4 linked regions of the Drosophila melanogaster genome follow. The protein of the gene in region 3 purifies or fractionates together with the protein of the main gene of each other region. This does not show direct contact. Each region holds a gene or a part of one and is shown on either strand. Other genes may lie near its edges.

Region 1 (5,049 bases), 7.1 Mb from region 3:
TGGTAGGAAAAGGTTTATCTGGGAAAATCAGGCACGAAAAATAGGTTGTGTTTGATGCGCGAGGCAAATACTTTCTTAATTTACTTTAAATTTTTTCTTCTCTTACTGATTTTCGTATTGGCTGCAAAAGAATTTGATGACTGGGCAAGAATACAAAACGAATAAAAAAAACTCACCAAATTTGAAGTGAAAAATTGCTTTAGTTACTGTATTGCAATCAAAGAATTGATCGGATAGTGTCAAAATACTTGCAAACTCGGAATGAGCGAAAGAGTTCGAGGAGCGAGCGAGCGATCGATCGAGAGACACAAAACGAGCGAAAGATATAGATATATAGTATATATAAGATATGCAAGAGTGAATTATTAAGTTTTTGTTTTGGGTATGCTTAAGAGTCTTTGTCTGTACAAATAACAATTAACAATTAGTCTTTATTCAATAGGATGAGAGAAAAGAATGCAAAGGTTTTTATGCTGGATTGTGGTTAGTTTTACTTTCTTTATTTGGCTGTTTATTTTATTTTATATTTTTTTTTTTTTATAAAAAGGAATGTTGAAAAAATATGCAGACACTTATAGTTTACTATGATGTGTACGTTACTCATTGATTTCTGGACTTTTTGGAAAGATATCTCATCGTTCTCGGCGGATTCCCGGCAAATTTGGAACAGTCTCATCACACGGCGGCGGAATTTCGATTGCAATTTAGTGATTTGTGCTTCTTTTTTGTGGCAATTCGTTACGTTACATTCGTTCATTGTGTTTCTTTCTTCGGGCGATATATAATGTATAGTTTTTGAGCTTCATAAAACAAAACGAAAAAACTGCGAGTCTCTTTTTCACTCGGTCTCTCTCTGTCTCCGATTACTTGGTACTTTTTTGTTTTTCTTTTTTTTTTAGGTAATTTACAAGTTATACGTTAAGAGATACAATACAATATATACTCGTATACAGTTTACATATGGATCCAATTTTAAATCGAGATTATTTCTTGATAATTTTGTGTGTTGATAGTTCTATATATTGGCTGACTGACTGATTGTTTGTTTGTTTTAGTTTTGGATAGATAAATACCATCAGCATCAGTATCGGCGGAGCGGAGACTTTTGGAGACTGGAGTGTGGAGAGGGTTGCATATCCTCCAAGTATAAGTCCGCCGAATCCGAATCCGAATCCGTAACCGTTTGCCGGGGGCAGGAATACGAATCCAAATCCATATCCGAATCCATATCCGTCTTGAGCATAGCTTAAAACCCTGACCTGGGGCATTTCACTTCTCTCAAAACCTGCCGGAGAGGAACAAGGTTAGTTCGCTCACAAGACAACAGGATAAGCTATGATTTTCGATTTAATTTCTCCATTTCGTCCTTCTTCCTTTACGGGGAATAATCTGCATCTGCTTCGTCAGCGCTGGTTTCGTATTATCGTTTAAATGTACAGTATCGTGTGACTTAAGATTAAACTTAGATATAAAATGATCATAAAGGATGGGCAAATGAAGTGTACGCTAGACCTAAAAACCAAAACGCAGGGGAGCAAACAAGAGGACCATTCTACTTGATCATCATTATCTCTATGCTTTAATCCATCAAAATTATTTATCATTTATAATTTACATTAATTGTTCGTTAAATTAATATTTTGGCGCCTTGGCAACTCCAAACAACGCCGGCTGTCGCTCTCTGAGAGTAAGAGCGCGCAAAAGAGGTGGCGAGCGAGCGAAGCCGGCAAGCAAGAGAATAAGTGAAAACTGCAAAACACGCACACACCTACAGAACAGCGGGCGTTAGGTTGGTATGTATGCCTGTATGCAGCCGCCATTTTGGGTACAAAACTGGAAGAGCACAAAATAACAACGAAATAGCCGAAACAAAGAGTAATGCGAATTAAAAAGAATACACTGACAAATACAAACATAACTTTTTCCAACGTTTTTTTTCGCCACATTTTTTGCAAGTGAAAGGCAACCGTATGATTTGTGTTCGTATGCGTCACAGTGTGTCTGTGGGGCAACGTGGGAAACAAACATAACCTCACAAAGGGGAGAAAATGTGCTCCTAGCTTAAGAAAACTCTGGTTTTCATTGCGGAAAGTGCGTGTGTGTGCAGGGGAAAACGTTGAAAATTTTCCATGTCTCCCGAGACTGTGATGATGCATTTTGGCCCGAAGATTCTATTAATATGACTGAAGTACAGTCGCACCGACACCTCACACACACACACTTAAACACACTCCGACGCACGAGCGCAAGCGAGAGAGAACACAAAAGGGGTCAGACTTCCCCCGCAGAACCCCGTAAAATCCAATGAAACTCGACCAACGACGTTAGCTTTGCATTTACGTAACAGAGTAGGCAATATACACTATGTAGAAGCAGAAAATCTATGGGGGGCACATGATCATCGGTTGCCCGTTGCAAAAATAAAAAAGAACAAAAAAAAAACGTATCCGCCGGATAATGGACATACCTGTCGTCGTCCCGCTGGCCGGATGCGGCCGATTGGTTGTCCGAACTGCCGTTGGTCGAGCCGGCGGCGCCCGCATCACCATTTTCAGATCCCGGACCGTCGGCAGTCACGTCCTTGGTGAAATCCTCGCCGTTTATTTCTGTATCCACTTGCTTGTTCTCGGCCATTTTGTGTGTTTTCGACTGATCTACTAATTTCGGGGGCTAGGCAGCACGATATTCGTTTTTTACGCAGAGCCGGAGATTTTTATACACACTCGCCAAAAAGTCGCGCGTACGAATGAAATGACGACCGGAAAATGATAAATGCAAACGACAGCGTGTGTATATGGGTGCGGCGTTGCCACCTTGATGTTTTCCCAGTCAAGTCGATTTGGTATTATTTTGGTAAATATTTGTATTGTATTTGCTTGCTCTACCTGGAGATTGTTAGCTATACATTTGCCAAGGATTAAATTGGGATTTTCTGTACGATACCACCCCAAATAAGCCTATATAAGGAGCTAAATGGGCGCGTGACTTGTCTGCTTGCAGTATGGCAGCTTTGATTTATACAATGTACACACACCTATGAAGAGAAAATGAAAAGAATACCAAAAATTTTATACAAATATTTTAAAGCCCAGTTTACACAATGGACAAGTTACTTGGTTTATAAATTCATTTTAGTTGTATTAAAGGTTTAAATATTTAAATAAATATTAAGTATTTCATAAACATTTATAATTTTATAAATATAAAAAATACAATGTTCATTATTTACTATGTGTTGGGAACGAAAACAACATTTACATACAAAGAATTGTTTAAAATCGAATTTTCATATTAACTTCTTATAGGCTGAAACATCAACAATATTTTAAATCATTTAATTGGTTTATATTAAATATTTTTATTTTTTGCAAAAATTTATACAATTTTCATATTCGGATTTCCCAACAGGTTATAATATAACGTTATTATGGTTTTTATTTATTTGCTATATAAAATGTTTCCTTTAAAGAAAGGTGTTTCATGAGCTTACTCAAAAAATCGGAAATGGCTAAAATGAAAATAAGTTTTATAAAACTATTTAAAAGAAACTTAGCGCCCCTAAAATGAGCTTAATTGAGCTCAAATATGAAAATATCAAATTCATCAAAATATTCTATGGAACATACTAGATTAACCACCCCAAAAAAAGAAGTGTGTGCACACCCTTGGAAAAGCCGCCATCATTCACACACCAACACACGCGAAACCAAGAATAAAACTGTGCAGAGGCAAAAAAGAGGAAAAGAGGAACGAACGTCGGTTCTCTTCTCGATTCAACACACTTGTCCAATTTCATTGCGTTTGCGATTATTTTCTACTCAAAAGCCACAACATATGCATCGTAACTTAATTCAACAACAACTGTGATCGCCAAACATCAGAAAGCAACAAAAAATACACGTCAAGAATTGCCAAGTTAGTTATTCTCAAAAAAAAAGACAAAAAGAATTGCAACAAACTAGACTAGTGTGTGTGTGTGAGCGAGTGAGTGCATTGGTGTGTGTGGCTGTGTGTTTTGTGTGCAGCTTGCAATTTTATACTGCATTTCATACGTTTCGACTATCGTTTTGTAAATTAAAAAAACCGCATAATTTCAGCGCTCCACTAAGAAATCCAACTCTCCCCGCCCCCCGCAGGAAGATAACAAAGAAAAGTGCTACAAAAAGTGCCGATTTTTCGGCAAACTTCAACCCAAAAGCAATACACACTGTGCATTACAAAAAGGAAAAATAAAAACGAGGAAAAATATCGCTTAAAAAAGGTGAGCCGGCGACGGCCTCGTGTGCGCGGTCTAGAAAAACTAGCATTTTCCATTTTCAAAGGGGTGGCGCATACTAGGAAAAAATCAACATAAAAAATGCTAAATGGGCGTATATTTTATTATTGCGGCAGGGCTCTATCTCTTAAATTTTTTTTTTTACCATTTTAGCGGCTTTTTTTATTATCGCTTGTGCATAACCTAAAAATGTACGAAAAATTTTGTTTTTGTACATTTTTGTTTAAATGCTGCTCTTCAACTATAGCTTTCTTTGTTCTTCCTACACACGCGGTTCGCAAGCAGAAATAGAGTGGGAAAGAGAGAACCCGAAAGAGCGGCGCGTTCATAACCGAATATGTGTGCGTGTGGGTTTGCCGCAACTCATTGTGCATTTTTTGTTTTATCGGCAAATGTTTATGGCTAAAATGGGGCAAAGGACACCTGCAAACATTGATATTTACTTACACCTTTTAACGCTATTTCAAGTGTTTTTGCAAGGCAGCAATTTGATATTTTGGCCAAGCTGGAGTTCATTGTATGCGGCGCCACAACCTTGAGACCCGAACATAACCTCAATTTAATTCATGCTCCTCGCTTGGCGGCTTCTTTTTTTTCTTTGCCAAATTGTATGAGGTCATTTACTCGCGCACACACACACACGTGCAAAGTTCAGTCAGCCAGGATCGCAGGCATAAAAGCTGGAGCACGTGCAGGGTTAAATGTCCTGCGACGGCAAGCAAATTGGAATTTTTCCTGACAGCTGCACTACACCAAATTTCCCCTTTTCGCAT
Region 2 (4,993 bases), on a different chromosome or scaffold from region 3:
TTTGTATGTATTTTATGTATGGGTTGTCCAAAAAGTAATTGCGGATTTTGTAAATGAAAGTAAATGCATTTTTAATAAAACTTCGAATGAACTTTAATCAAATATATTGTTCGATAATCTTTTGCCATCTTTCTGGCGAACATCCGAATTAATCGTTTGGTTCCTTGGAAGCAGCTAAAAATATACGACACCCTTCCAATACCACCAAACAGACAGCATAACCTTCTTTTGGTGGATATCAGCCATTGAAGTGAAACGGATCGAATTCATTGCGTTTAAGGTGCTTATCACAAGCGTTGATTCGGTGTGTTAAATGAATTTCTTTCAATACATGTGGTACCCAAATATCAAGCTTTTTCACCAGTCCAAGACTTTTTATAATGAACGGTTGATTTTTGGTATATTTAACTTCTCTCCTATCTCACGCTCAAGTTACATGACGATCTAATTCGATAAATAATAATGCTTTGATTTGGTCATCATCAACTTCATTTGGCCTGAACGTGGCTCATCTCTAAGTGAAAAATCTCCAGAACGGAATTTGCGAAACCAATTTTGACACTGTCTTCCTTTTAAGGCTTCATCACCATACCATCGTATCTCTCGTAACTTTCTAGCAACCTTCTCCGCGTTTTTTCCTTTACGGAAATAATAAAGTAAGATATGACGAAAATGCTCCTTTGTGGGCTCCATATTAAAATTGACGCCAAACAAACAAATAAAAACAAAATTTCGCGCACTTTTTTTTCTAATGGAAGCTAAAAGTAACAGCTGATAACTGACCAAAGAAAGAATGCAATTACAGAGTTACAAGCCGTTGAAAAAATTTGTCAACGCCGACTATATGAAAAATCCGCAATTACTTTTGGGCAATATCTTACTTTTTGGGCAATATCTTAGGTTGGTTTCAACGTTGCCAAAGTTCTTTTTTCCTTCAAAACAATTAAACAAAAGCCACGACGTTCACACGTAACTTTCTATCGTAACAATATCGATGTCGTCGGTTTGTTTTTGTTGCAGGCACATGGAAAGATACACATAGAATATAAGAAATCCGGTTAATCGAATTGCTACACAGGAAAAAACAAGGTGGAATAGTTAATTTGGTTATTTGCAAACTGACGTTATTAAAATTAAAGGCCAGGGCTATGGTTGAAATTTTTTTAAATTTACATTTCCTTCGGAGACAATATTTCTTGCTGTGTAAAGATCTTTGGTGCGAATGGGTAGAAATGGTCAGATGACAAAAAATTCACGCATAGTTATTATGAAAGGCACAGGTAGGAACAAAAAAAAAAAAGAGAAAAAAGCGGCAGAAGCAACCGGCCGGTACACATACACACAAACACACGCAGCTGAAGAGATTCCGCCGTACACGTGTATGTGTGTTTGTCGTCTAACTGCTTTTTGTACACGTTCACAAGTTTGCTCCTCCTTCGACACCCCAACACTACTCTCATCCCCTTTCACTCGTTTTTGAACGGCTACGTGAAAGTATTGTTTTCTTTTCGCTGTGTCACGAGCGGAATGGTTGTTGTTGTTGTTGTTGTAACAAATCCCCAGCCTCACTCACACACCAGCACACATGCCGCCTATCAATGAGAACAACGAACTTATGTATTTCCAAGGTGAAAAGAGAGCTGTCGCCGGTTCACCACATTTGCGCGCCATTTGCCAGGGTATTACAGATTACAGCCAGATGTGGGCCAAGTAAACATCTACAGGAGTATATTTAAATTTTTGTGCAAACGCCAATGAACAACGGGTTTAAATTCACTTTGTTATCAAGAAAATCCCGTTTTCTTTACTGGCAGCACTTCGCAGACATTTTGCCCATTAACAAGTGAAAAAACATGTGGCAACGCCATGTGTGACGTGAACGCGAATGGAAAGCGAAAAGCAAACGTACCAAAAACCAATGCCCTCAAAATAAATGTTAATTCCATCGAAAGAAAAAACAAACAATTCTTTTTCGAGTTTTCCTCCAGCTTTAAACGATTAATGTTTTATTGTTGTTGCTGGCTGAGTACTCACGACTGAACTGAATGAATCGCACTGGCAGTGTGTGGGAAATTCACCACGGCAAAGGCAACGAAGAAAAAAAAACAAAATGGAAGACGTGCCTTATGAAAAATGATACAACAAAGAAGTCTCAAGAAATGTCTTGGGTCTCAGTTCTTAGAAAAGGGAACAAACGCATTTCACTGTATTTTTACGCTTTTCGTTTTGTTTGGCCAGCCAGGCGGTTTAATCGATGGGGCACTCACTAATTCACGAATGCACTTTCACGCCGGGTACACTTTTGACACTTGGGCTTTCGGGCCGGAGAAATAGGAGCGAAATTAACCAAGATTTCTAATACGCAATTTTACGAATTTCGCACGATTTTTGTATTTTGCACCGCAATCTGCTGGCGTGTGTGAGTGCATGAGTTGGCCGTACGTGTGTGCGCGTGAGAGCGTGTGTGTGCGCGAATGGCCGCCGAGCGCTGTGCAATGGTGTGCGTGATCGTTGGTGTGGTGTTATACATAGCATTTTTTCGTATGTATGTATAAAAATATGAAATTTTCCACTTTGATGGGTGGAAATAGAGTGCCGAAAGTGGCACGAAAAATCGCTGAAAATTGCACAAACCTCTGTTTGTCGAGAAATCCGAAAAGGCGAAGAAACGATTCGAACGAATCGAGCCAATTTTACCCCACACACAAACACACGCGCACACCGAGCAATGGCAGCTGCGTCAAGTATTCAGGCGTTTTTTTTGGAAAGGAAAGGCTAGGCAGGCATTTTGTTAAAGCACTGTAATTGTTATGTAAATGCGATTTTCGGTCGCTTTTCGTTCTTACCGTTTGTGCCAAGTGTTCGTCTGTGGTTTTTTAAAGATTTCGCACTGCAAATTCACTAAATTTAAGTGTTTTTTCCTTAAAAAACTAGCTTATAAATAATTGTATGATTTTGATGCATACGATATTATAACCTAACTTATATGATAAATCGCCGCCACGTTTAATGCTGTGTGACCGCCGCCAGCCAAAAAAAATACCTCAAGTTGCACGGAATATACTAAAACATACTCCACATATATTCTGAATCTAACAGATACTAGAAAACAAATTTAAATTACGAATTTATATCTATCTTTTAACACGAAGGCTAAATATAAAGGAAGTTAAAGGGGACTGGTTAAAAAAATGTATTATAAATTATTTACATTAAAATGTAATTGTGCAGTACAATAATATCTTAAAGGTGAAAAATGTAATAAGATGTGTGTATATGATTTGTATGTACTATACTAAAAAAGGTTTTATAGTCGCTTTCTTTAGGCGGATGGAATGTTTTGAAAGGAAAAAATAATTTTGAGTATTTTTTTCGTAGGAGTTGAAAAGGAAATATTTAGATTTTCATTTTTCGGCCCTGGAAGTTATTGTTGCCAGACACTCCCGCCTTTTGCTGACCGTTACCCGCGGATTGAGCATAACTTTTGGTATATTTTTAGCGAGTCCGCAGTTTCTTTTAATGGTCTGTCCACGGTCACTCTGTTTGCTACCCGGTAAAATGAGTTTTGCGCTGCATTAAATAGAAAATAAACACAAAAATTCGCATCTGCCGACCGTGTTAAGTGACTAAAAGTGTTCGCCAGTGCGCGATTGACCGACCAAAGTGCCCAGGAAGGCGGTGGCAAGTGATTCCAACCCATCATCGATTTTTTTCTGCGCTGCTGCCACATTAATTTGGGCCCGGGGAAAAGCGAAATAAACAGAAATGTCGCGCCATCCGAGCGATAGAAAGGTGTACGTGGGCGATCTGGGCAACAATGCCCGGAAGAACGACCTGGAGTATGTATTTGGAGCGTACGGCAGTTTGCGCAGCGTCTGGATAGCCCGCAATCCGCCGGGCTTCGCCTTCGTGGAGTTTGAGAGTGCCCGCGATGCGGCGGATGCGGTGCGCGGATTGGACGGACGGACGGTTTGCGGGCGCCGAGCCCGTGTGGAATTGTCCACCGGAAAGTATGCTAGGTCCGGCGGTGGTGGTGGCGGAGGTGGTGGAGGCGGTGGTGGTGGAGGACTCGGAGGACGCGACCGAGGCGGCGGTGGTCGTGGGGACGATAAGTGCTACGAGTGCGGCGGACGGGGGCATTTCGCTCGCCACTGTCGCGAAAGGAAGGCCAGGCAGCGACGCAGGTAAGCGCAATTCGCATTTGCAATTCGCCATTTCAATTTTTCATTCATTGTCGTTGCCAAAAACTTCTTGCTTTTTGTAACATGGCGAGAGAAAGGCATACATACAAACAAACGCATACATACATACATGCATGCTTGTGTGTATGCGCATGCAAAAATGTTGAGTTTGTTTGGGCACCTCTGTCGCCTGTTAAAACTAACAGCGTGCTGTTATGCGCAATGAGTGCTGTTAATCCCAGCGCATGAAGTAGTTCTGTACCATAACAGCACGCACACGTGCTCGGGTGGCATACCCATTAATATCGATATGAGAAGTATATAGCTTCTACAATTGTCTAACAAAATCATGCTTGACAACAGTAGTTATCTATTCAGATAGTAATAACAGAATTTTGTTTTTAAGTCTATTATATAGACTATTATAAGTCTAATATATTGTAAAAATGTAAACACTTTCGTGATTAATAAATATATAAAATATATATATTTTATACTCTTGAGCACAAGAATTTGTCCGTAAATTGCACAAAAGCTTACAAATAGTTACGTGACAATGATTTAGCGAAGTCCTCTAATATATTTAATATTGATATTAAAGTTTGATTGATTTGATTAGAAATAGACAAATTAAAATAAGTGGTAAACAAAAGGGTAGCAGGCGGCTGCAAGACACCCTCCTACGCTATTTTCCCCGCGCTTTTACGTTCGTGGTGAATTAATTACAGTGGTGCTGTTATGCGCGAACCAAGTGGCAACGCCGTAGACCGAAGGCACACGTGCTTGCACTTCATTTTGGATTTTTCTTTTAC
Region 3 (4,653 bases):
GAATTCTTAATAGCAAAGGCAGAGAGGTAAAGTAAGCATACGTTAAAAACTAAATGGAATTGCAGAATTTCTCATGGTCGGATCTAAAAGCGCCAAATCGGTTGTGATCAAATCGGTAATTTTTCGCTCTTGCTGTGGAGAATTTCAAATATTTGAATTTTGCTTTGGCCGCATAACTGTTCCTACTTCATCCGATGTGTTATAACACGATAGTAAATATGTGGATACAATACGTTAAATATGTATATATATAGGATATTTGTATAGGTCTTAAGAGTTAGCAATACGTAAAAACATTGAAGCGGGGATCAAACTGATTTGGTGGTCAGGGTCGGATGGGGTGGGGTTTTCATTGGGGAGACTGGGTTTTCAGGTGGGCTGGGCTGGGCTGGACTGGTGGTTGGTGGTATGGATGATCTGTGGTTGGCTTAAATACCTGTCGCACTGCATTGACGGCCGCTTCGCGATTTGTGAATGTGACAAATGCATAACCACGATTTGTGCCCGTCATCGGGTCCATCATGAGTCGTAGGTCCCAGATTATGCCGCAGTTCTCGAATAGCGGAATCAGTTCGTCCTCGTACATGTCCTTGGGTATCTTGCCGCAGAAAACCTCGCAACCGTTGCCTGGCACATTTCCCTCCCAATGCGGCGGCGGTCCGCCGTATTTACGCTGACCTGAGTACGGTATAAGTAATAGTATTAGATAAAAGTTTCTCCAGTACTTGAAAATGTTTCTCACCTGTCGTCACATCTAATGTGTAGCCGGTGCGCTCGAGGATTTTCTTGATCTTGTCCTCGTCGGGACCTTTGACAGTTGCGGGCGCGGCCACGCCCTGTTGGCTGGCTCGACTCTTCTGTCGGTACGTCTTCATCACGCCGCATAGGTAGGCGGACTTGTTTGACACGTGCTCCAGGTTCGATTCCAGGAACTGTCCCAACACATTCAAGGCACCATCGACGGGAAACTCCTTGAGCGCGTCCAGGGCGCGCTCGTCCAGCTCGGCGTGAGCCAACTTGCCGGTTTTGTAGATCTCATCCAGTTTGCCGGCGACCTAGGAGCATATGTTGCATGTGGCAAATGTTGGTAATAGTTGGCATGTGGTGTTGGGTTCTCAAAGCACTCACCTTCTTGTCCAGACCGTATTCCAGCAGCTTGGGATAATCCTCTGTACGCTCGCCATCGCCACGGTCATCGGCTTTCTGGTTAATGTCATCCAACAGTTCGCCATTACCTTCCGCCATTTCTGCAAGTGCAACGATAATAAAATGTTATAAATATATATTGAGTATTTATACATAAATATTAATATTCTTGAAACATACATTCAAGTGAGCACCCACAAATTGTGCGACCTATAAAATCACCTTGTAGAGTTCAACGAACGCAAAATAGCCACAAACGGCGAGCGCTTGGTAAAAAATGGGTCGCGAGAATGTGCGAAATACGAGAAATACGAAAAATTGGCAACTTACGCACCGTCGCACGCACTCGCGGAATGAGATAAACGGGGAGTGCGATAAAGCAGGGAGCATGGGAGAGAGAGGAGACAACAAAGCGAGCAACAAAGTTCATTGACTCCAAACAAATGCGAAACGCACAAATTTGCGATCCAGAAGAGCGCGCATCCGAGCACCGAAAAGTGCGTGAGAAAGGCAAGAGAAGGAGAAAGGCAAACGAGAAGAGAAAGAGGGAGCCGCATGAAAACGTATTGGCCAAAATGTAAACAAACGAAAAGAGGCGCGATTTGCGAATTGTGCGTGACGTGTTGCGTATACGCGATGTGTTCGGCCACGCTCACAAGAGCGTGACGTATTAGTTGCCCTGGTAACAGCTGATGAATCTAGTGGGTTCACTTTTTGCCGTGTTTGAAGCTACTGGACTTTAGACTTGGATTAGTATTAGTAGTTTTATTGACTAAAAGTAGTAGTATACGTGATTTGCTATGTTAAATCAGCCTAATACATTTATTTATGATCTGTTCCGTGGCTAAATTCAGTTGAGCTGCGGAAACAAGAGCTGTTCGCTTTCGTTGCAATTGCAGCCGCAGCTGCACACAGGCATTTATCATAAATGAATATTTATGGCACACTCATAATGAAAATGCAAATGTTCCACAGTTGTCAAGTGGCAAACGCTCACCTATACAGGCCGCAGCATAGAAAGCTACCTTAGCAGCCACACTATCAGCAAATGCTATTTTGATTCGCGTGTACACGTATATTCGTATGTATATTATATATATGTACGATGTGTATGTACATACATACATATAGAAAGTTGTGTGTGTTTGACGTTCAAACAAAAACGAAGCAAGCTGCAAAAATAAAAACGAGGGACCCCAACTAGCCGAGAGCGATAATTGCGTAACATGTGCAAAAAAAAAAAAACAAAAACAAAAAAAAACAGCAGCAATATCAGCTAGCTCTATCGTTCAAGAATGGGAGAGCCAAACCAGCGATAGAGCGCGACCCACAAAAATTATGGGCAAACCCGAACATTTCTAAAATCTTTTCTGTTTGTTGCTGCTCTCTCCACTGGCATTCTGCGAATTTCGCATTAATTCTCCGGCATTCGATTCGTTTTCGCTGACATTGAAATACTTTGCGATTGATATCGGGGGCAATTGGGTGTTTTGCAGCGGCGTGGAATACTCACTGCTGCAACTGGGAATTGGGCTGGGGGTCCTGAATGAAGACGGTGTTTTGAGGATCGTGCGGCTCAGAGCCTCGCCGCCCCCTTCATCCTTCTGCACTTTGGAGGCTTCCATCTGGGAAAGCATCGCGTAATGCAACAATTTAACAATTTTCAATTTCCTTAGGCGACTTGGAATTTCGATTGCAAATGTGAATGAATTTGTTTTCGCTTTTTCTTATTTTTGAAGTAAAAATCAATAGTTCCGAAACGATTCGAGAGACGAGAAAAATTTTCACAACTGAATAGAAACAAAAAACATTACGGAATAACTTTTGACAATCGCCCAGCAGGGCCAACTACGCATCGATATTTAGAAAGGGTTACCGAACCGAACCCACTTTGTTGAGGTGGCAATCCTGAAAATGGTGTGGTGCAAGTATTAAGACCACAAATTTATGACAACTGCAGTGGGGCCATCAGAATGCCATGTGCGCTATGACAACTATAACAATAAGCGGAACCAGTCAACCAGTAACAACAAAAACATATCCCATTATCTAGGCCCCTCCAACACATAAATACTATGTATTTATATGCATGTATGTATATCTAGATTGTTGGGCGCGAAAACGCAGCGAGCTGTAAGTGAAAAGTGTTGGCGACAACCGCAGGGAAGCCCACAAAAGGGCAAACACCGGGGGAGCGTCATGAAGTTGCGCTGGCGATGCGAGAAAGGCGGGAAAATCAGGAAAAGCGCTTTATCGGCGCACAGCGAGTAAATGAATAATAAACACATGGGCAATGGATATTGAGCCAGTCGAAAGGAGTAGACAACAATGCAGGAAATTCCATTAGGATTGCAGTGAAATATCGATAAAATGGTATTCCTTATACGCTGAGTTGCCATGCTAATGCTTCTATGGCATATGGAAGTGCATACTGAACAAAAAAAAAAACAGGATGACTGGCCACATACCACAGCCAATTTAAGTCTTTATTCTTGGGTCTCCCGAACTCAAAGCTATTCAGGTGACGGCTCCTGGCCTAAAACCGCTTTCAATTTGCAACACTTGCCGGACTGTGTGTGTGCTTTTTTTTTCCAGCCCGAGTCATCATTTTTTATGCATGTTTGTTATGGCAACAGGGTAGTCGCCGCTTGTTTGCCCCAGCGGTGGCAACTCTGTCCCATGCATATACTCGTACAGAAAAAATAGAAGCACGGCTAAAATGGGGGAAAAACAAAGAAACGTTTGCATGTTAAAGAACATTCCTTTTTGCATGCTCGTTTTGTTTGCCAGAGCCGCTTGGCAACTACCTCAATAAATTTGATGTTGATGCCGGCGATATGCGCAAACATACACAGCCAGCCATACATACACACATGCATATCCTGGCATATCCTGCCTTCTTGCACTTGTGTCGGTTAGTTACACCCTCGGTTGTATAAAAAAAAAAAAAAAAAAAACAGAAAAAGTCACCCTCTAGCTGCTAGCAGGGGTGATTCGCCCCGGATTCCACCTCTCCCCCGCCATTCCGGACTCGGATTCGGATTCGGCCTCCTTTGCCAAGAGATAATGCCTGGTGTAAGGTTAGTAAATCAGCGATATGACAAATCGCCGCAAACGCAGGCGGAGCACTTAATGCGGCGCTTTTTCAATGGGAGACAAAGGAGAATCAAAAATTGCTGATAAAGCCAAATAAATCGTTTTGCCACATTTGTTCGTCACTCGCGTCCGTCTGCCAGACAATACGTCGCCGCCGGCAGCAGTCTGGTCTAGAATTACAAGATCTCCCCAATGGCAAATTGGCAACTCCGCCCCTGTTTCTGTCAACCGAAGCCAGACTGACTGTAGACTGCAGAAACTATGAGTATCTTTAGGATGGTGGCGGCTGGCTATAGTCCAGGGGTTGCTCGCCGTGGCATTGAGGAAGTGTTAAAGTTTGTGCTTTCGCAATTTGAATTTCAAGAAGCCCTAGCCATTTAAATGTTATTGCCATGGACAACGGCGACAACA
Region 4 (4,928 bases), on a different chromosome or scaffold from region 3:
TGGAGATGTTGCTGCCGCTGTTGCTGTTGATGTTGCCGTGGTGATAGGCAGCCCCAGCCGCAGCGACGGCGCCGGCTTGGTTCGACGACGTCTGTTGCTGCTGCTGCTGCTGAGCGTGGAGATGGTGATGATTCAGACTGCAAAACGGAGGATAGAGCAAGCAAATTGGTTAATCGATGGCCACAAGTAAGAGCTCCTGGGGCGGATGCGCTGGCTTCTGCGGTTATATCAGCAAACAATGCACACCAAGAGGATTATAGAGGCCATCGAGACAAAAGTGTACATCGACTGGCGCACGGGAAAAACAAAAACACCAACGAGAGAGGTCCTAGAAGCTTCGTGGCCCCCCCCAACCCTCTGCCGTATGTTGTTGTTCCTGCGGAATAGCAGACAACAGCGACCACGCCGAACAATGGACAAAATCCTAACAAAGCACAAAAGCCGCATTCTCTTACGCATCGTGTCATTTTTCGCCAACTGTCAGTTTCAATTGAGACGCACCTACTGCGACACCCTGCTCCTGCAACCGCTCCCTACCTTTCCTTTCCCAATGATCGAGGGTAGGAGAGCACTCTAGCGACCTTTACCTACAGCCTCGTACATTTCACAAGACAAGGAAATATTTTTGGCAATTTATAATCGCTAAATCAGTACGGAAACAAGCCTTCAAATTAACATTGATATGGGCAATTTGTGATTAGGATCAGTTGATATGCGATAAAAATGTCCTGCGTAAGGGAAAGGTAATTAATTGAATGCTCTTAATGTTTATGGACACTCTTTTTTGAAAACAAGTCTGAGCAATGTGATAATCCATATTTCAGGCTAATACAAATCTGTAGTAATATCTGAAGTTTATTCCTTTCGTACCTTTCACTTGCAAGTTATATGGTTAAGAGGATTTGATTTCATTTGCAAAATCTCATCTCTTATCTTTACGAGTTCTTTAATTTATTGTCTTGCGAACTTATTAGATCCCGCTTCAGTTTCTATAACTTTAATCTTCTTGCATATTTCACCTCTCACTTGGCACTGATGAAAGTCTATCATGATCGTTAAAAGATCGTACGCAAATGTACGTTAGAATCAGCGAACGTCGGTAATAAATTCATGTGCGACCCGATCCGACCGGCAGGCAAAACGCAACTGAATGCGGAACTGGATGAGCAGTTTGCAGAGAGTTTGGCGAAACATATGATCGTAGACAATACGAGGAGCCTGAACTACTGGAGGCCGAGCCGAAGGATACTCGCGAACGTCAAGGATAATTGCAGCGCAGTCGGCAGGGCAAACCCGTTATCATCGAGCGGAAGTCATGCTGAGCGCGAAAGAACAAAGAGCCACTGAAATTATAATTTATGAGTTGAGAAAATGGGATGATGAGTCTCACACCAATTGTCAGTGACAGGAATTAACATAATTGCCGCAACGCATAAAGCTCAGACAAGCTGGCGTTTCGAGTCGATGTGGAATCTCTCTAGGATCCAACCAAGCCAGGGAGATACATTTTCCTCACCTGAGATTCACACTGAGTCCATGAGATCCAACCAGTGGCTAGTGGTACATTATTGCCTAAACAATTTATACTGAGATCTCGATCTAGATTAGGAAACTCTATAAGATGTTATCCCATATTAATAACACACCTATCTAAAAGTTCCTTCCTGTACATAGATAGATGGGAATTCTTCTAGACTTGGAAAACCTATTTAACCCATGTTACCCCTTCTTGTTTACATGGAGTTTCGATTGAATGAAGGGGATGATAACCATTTCCGAAAACAAACTGAACCAACAAGGCGTACCATCTTGTTTAACTCCAAACATAGTTAGAACTGCTAAATTGGAACCGAACTCCAAAAGGTATCACAATTTAATAAACTGATACTACTCTTATTTGACTGAAGGATGAAGCATTATCTGGTTTAATTGTTATTCCTGATAGCGTCAACGACATAGATGGCTTACCGTGCGTGGAGGTCGCGATGTGGAGGCTGCTGGGGCGGCGGTGGCGGCTGCTGTTGCTGCTGAAGACTGGGGCCCAGGTGCTGCTCCATGCCGGGATGCAGATGCATGTGGGCATGGCTGTGGCTGTGATGGTGCGCAGCTCGGATGTGGGGCGCTGGCCGGGCGGCATGAACGTTGTGCTGCATTTTCTTGAGCTGTAACCTTTAGGACTCCCGTATGAACCAGCGACCGCAGCTGCAAGGAGGAAAAGGAACATGGATGAGACGGACACAAACAATGTTTTCCCTGTCCGCACAAAGGGCCCTGGAGGTGTTTCTTTGTGCGGCGATTGTGCGTAAACAAGTTGCAACTGCATGCGGGGCATATAAATGCGAAATGCAAATGGACATGGTGCACACGTATCTACCTATATACATACATACATATGTGTGTGCATACATATATGCGTATATATATATATATATACATAGAAATGCAACTGAAGCGACGACATCGGCCTAAATCAAATTGTGACAGGCGGCGGGTAGAAGGGTTCAAATCGACTGATTCGTTGCCGATGCCAAGCAACCACTCCTGGTTGCACTTTTCTGGTTCTTACGGCCCTCCGGTTGCCTTATGCCTCTGTGTGTTCTTGGTGAAATCGGATAAAATGCAGCTGCAGTGCGCAATTCAGGTTTCGTGCATTCCGTGCAGGGGTTCAAGGACCCAGACCCAAACCAAGACCAAGAACAAGACCTAGACCCAGATCCACACATCCATGGATTCTGTTCCCTTCCCTTCCATTCCGTTCCGTAACCCCATTCCGATTCCCAGTCCGCATCCGAAACGAGAGTGGCATAACGATCTGCAGACGCAACTCACCTTCTTGCGCTCCCAAAACGATTTTCGTACGCAATGGTCACGGGAAAATCACAACAACTGAATGCAAATACTCCGTTCGATCGATGGACACATGCACATCCATTCATGCGGGCTGGCCTCGATCGTTTGCGCAACTTAAAAAACACTTTAGAACTACTTTAACACTTAAATTAAATTGATAAACCTATTTTGCACTGTGGCTGCGGATGAAACTCGAAAAATAATGGCTTTTAGGCGAGCGGGAAGCGGGGTGGTTGCGTACGGCGGTGTTGGAAAGCGCGCGCGCAGAAGCGCCAGGGCTGCACAATAGTCGATCTGGTATTTTATGCCTATCGAAATTGATAACTTTAAAAAGGGCATAAATATTAATTCGAAATTATTTAAATCTGTAATTACGAAATATTTAACTAACAGGCTTATTGATTGAATTACAAACAACAAACAACAGCATGCGTTTTCCTGTTCAAGTGTATTTTAGTATTTGTTGGACAGAAAGCCAGCGTTTTTAGGCGCCAATGCTTAAGGTCACACTGCAAAATAATATTAAAAATAAAAACATATTTTTAAGAATTTTATCATCAGACAAACAAAAACTGAAAAACAGTGGCTATTTAAAGAACGCCCTATTACTTTTATTTTTGGGATGAACCCGGGGATGCCCCCAAGGTTGCTAGATCATGAAAATGATGACGCCACCAATTCGCTTCGATTGTTTTGATAATATTTTGGCTGTGACTCATTCGCCGGCTGGCCGATGTTTTCACTTTTGTTGTGGCCCCGAATGGCATTTAAGGCATTCCGGTGTAGACAGCAGACCAGAGAGCAAGCACACGCAGTTCCGCGATTACGCAGCACACCCACAATTACTCAGTTCAGTCCGTCAATATGTTCGATTTCAATTTGGAATTTGCGCGTGGAGGTGCCCGTTTCACCAGCGAACTTTTTCAGCTTTTGAGCGCTGGCGGGCTCAAGGAGAACGTCGTCTTCTCGCCCTTCTCCATCCAAACTTGCATTGCCCTGGCCTTTGCCGGATCGCAGGGTGAAACCGCCGACGAGATCGCCAAGGCACTGCACTTCGTCTCCAACTTTCCGCCGGAGGTGGCCCAAACGTTCCAGTTTGTGCTGGAGAAGTACCGCAACAGTAACCTGCTGCGCGTTGCCAACAAGCTGTACGTGCAGGAGGGCAAGCAGCTGAAGCCCGCCTACCAGTCGGCCATCAAGGAGCAGTATCATTCGGAGGCGGAGTCCATTAACTTTGCGCTCAACGATGCCGCCGCCCAGGCCATCAATGCCTGGGTGAATGCCAAGACTCAGGGCAAGATTACGGAGCTGGTCAGCGCGGACTCGTTCTCGGACAACACCAGGCTGGTCCTGCTCAATGCCCTCCACTTCAAGGGCAGCTGGGCGCACAAGTTCAGCGAGGAGCGCACCGAGGAGGATATCTTCTGGGTGGGCGAGGAGGAGCAGGTTAAAATCAACTACATGAACCAGAAGGCCAAGTTCAACTATGGCTTCTTCGAAGATCTGGGCTGCACTGCCCTGGAGATGCCCTACCAGGACTCTGACCTCTCCATGTTCGTGCTGCTGCCGCAGGAGCGGACAGGTATTTACGCCCTAGCCGAGAAGCTCAAGACTGTGAACCTGGTGGATTTGGCCGACAAGTTGACCGTGGAAGAGGTCCATGTCAAGTTCCCCAAGTTTAAGGTGGACTACTCCCTGGAATTGGCCGAGAAACTGAAGCAGGTACATATTATTTTTTTTTTTTGGGGGTGGGGGGGGTTGATTGTTCCACCCAATTTATGCCACAATTAAGCTCCATTTGGGGTCAGCTTTTGTTTTTATATAACACAGTTCCTTGACCTCCATTTGATGTTGCGTGCTTAAGGTGAAGTTTGGAGTTATTAATAGCAGTAGCTCAATAAATTTCTCCATAAAATCCAGAATTCAATTTTATGGACACGTTGCAGTGCTGCAAACCGCCCACAAAAATATTTATTGCCCACTTATCTCTAAAATTCCGTCTATTGATGTACATATGTATTATTTTTAGTAGCTTATCGACGGTAGGGTAGAAATGTCTTAGATAACCAAAATGAGCT

The links.
Region 1: the proteins of Syp (region 3) and sqd purify together in Drosophila melanogaster (affinity purification with western blotting, with the first as the bait; one study listed by BioGRID). This does not show direct contact.
Region 2: the proteins of Syp (region 3) and Hrb27C purify together in Drosophila melanogaster (affinity purification with western blotting, with the first as the bait; one study listed by BioGRID). This does not show direct contact.
Region 4: the proteins of Syp (region 3) and stau purify together in Drosophila melanogaster (affinity purification with western blotting; one study listed by BioGRID). This does not show direct contact.

What each region holds. Positions count from the first base shown.
Region 1 is NT_033777.3:13,643,286-13,648,334, forward strand, and holds the start of sqd (squid), read right to left. Parts: upstream 3,020-5,049; 5' UTR 2,635-3,019; coding exon 2,468-2,634; intron 1,286-2,467; exon of another isoform or gene 1,074-1,285; intron 1-1,073. UniProt on the Drosophila melanogaster protein: Component of ribonucleosomes. Could be needed to organize a concentration gradient of a dorsalizing morphogen (Dm) originating in the germinal vesicle. At least one of the isoforms is essential in somatic tissues.
Region 2 is NT_033779.5:6,918,715-6,923,707, reverse strand, and holds the start of Hrb27C (heterogeneous nuclear ribonucleoprotein at 27C), read right to left. Parts: upstream 3,005-4,993; 5' UTR 2,847-3,004; intron 2,743-2,846; exon of another isoform or gene 2,635-2,742; intron 2,449-2,634; exon of another isoform or gene 2,268-2,448; intron 2,070-2,267; exon of another isoform or gene 1,910-2,069; intron 978-1,909; exon of another isoform or gene 974-977; 5' UTR 882-973; intron 1-881. Other genes in the region: x16 splicing factor, read left to right, coding at 3,766-4,184. UniProt on the Drosophila melanogaster protein: This protein is a component of ribonucleosomes. Could be needed to organize a concentration gradient of a dorsalizing morphogen (Dm) originating in the germinal vesicle.
Region 3 is NT_033777.3:20,788,339-20,792,991, reverse strand, and holds the start of Syp (syncrip), read right to left. Parts: upstream 3,007-4,653; 5' UTR 2,784-3,006; coding exon 2,660-2,783; intron 1,248-2,659; coding exon 1,129-1,247; intron 1,056-1,128; coding exon 743-1,055; intron 679-742; coding exon 437-678; intron 1-436.
Region 4 is NT_033778.4:18,122,726-18,127,653, forward strand, and holds the start of stau (staufen), read right to left. Parts: upstream 3,055-4,928; 5' UTR 2,830-3,054; intron 2,203-2,829; 5' UTR 2,154-2,202; coding exon 1,969-2,153; intron 1,149-1,968; exon of another isoform or gene 1,020-1,148; intron 138-1,019; coding exon 1-137. Other genes in the region: Spn55B (serpin 55B), read left to right, coding at 3,715-4,572. UniProt on the Drosophila melanogaster protein: RNA-binding protein which forms ribonucleoprotein complexes (RNPs) that play critical roles in the localization, translational repression and turnover of RNAs during embryogenesis, neurotransmission and neurogenesis.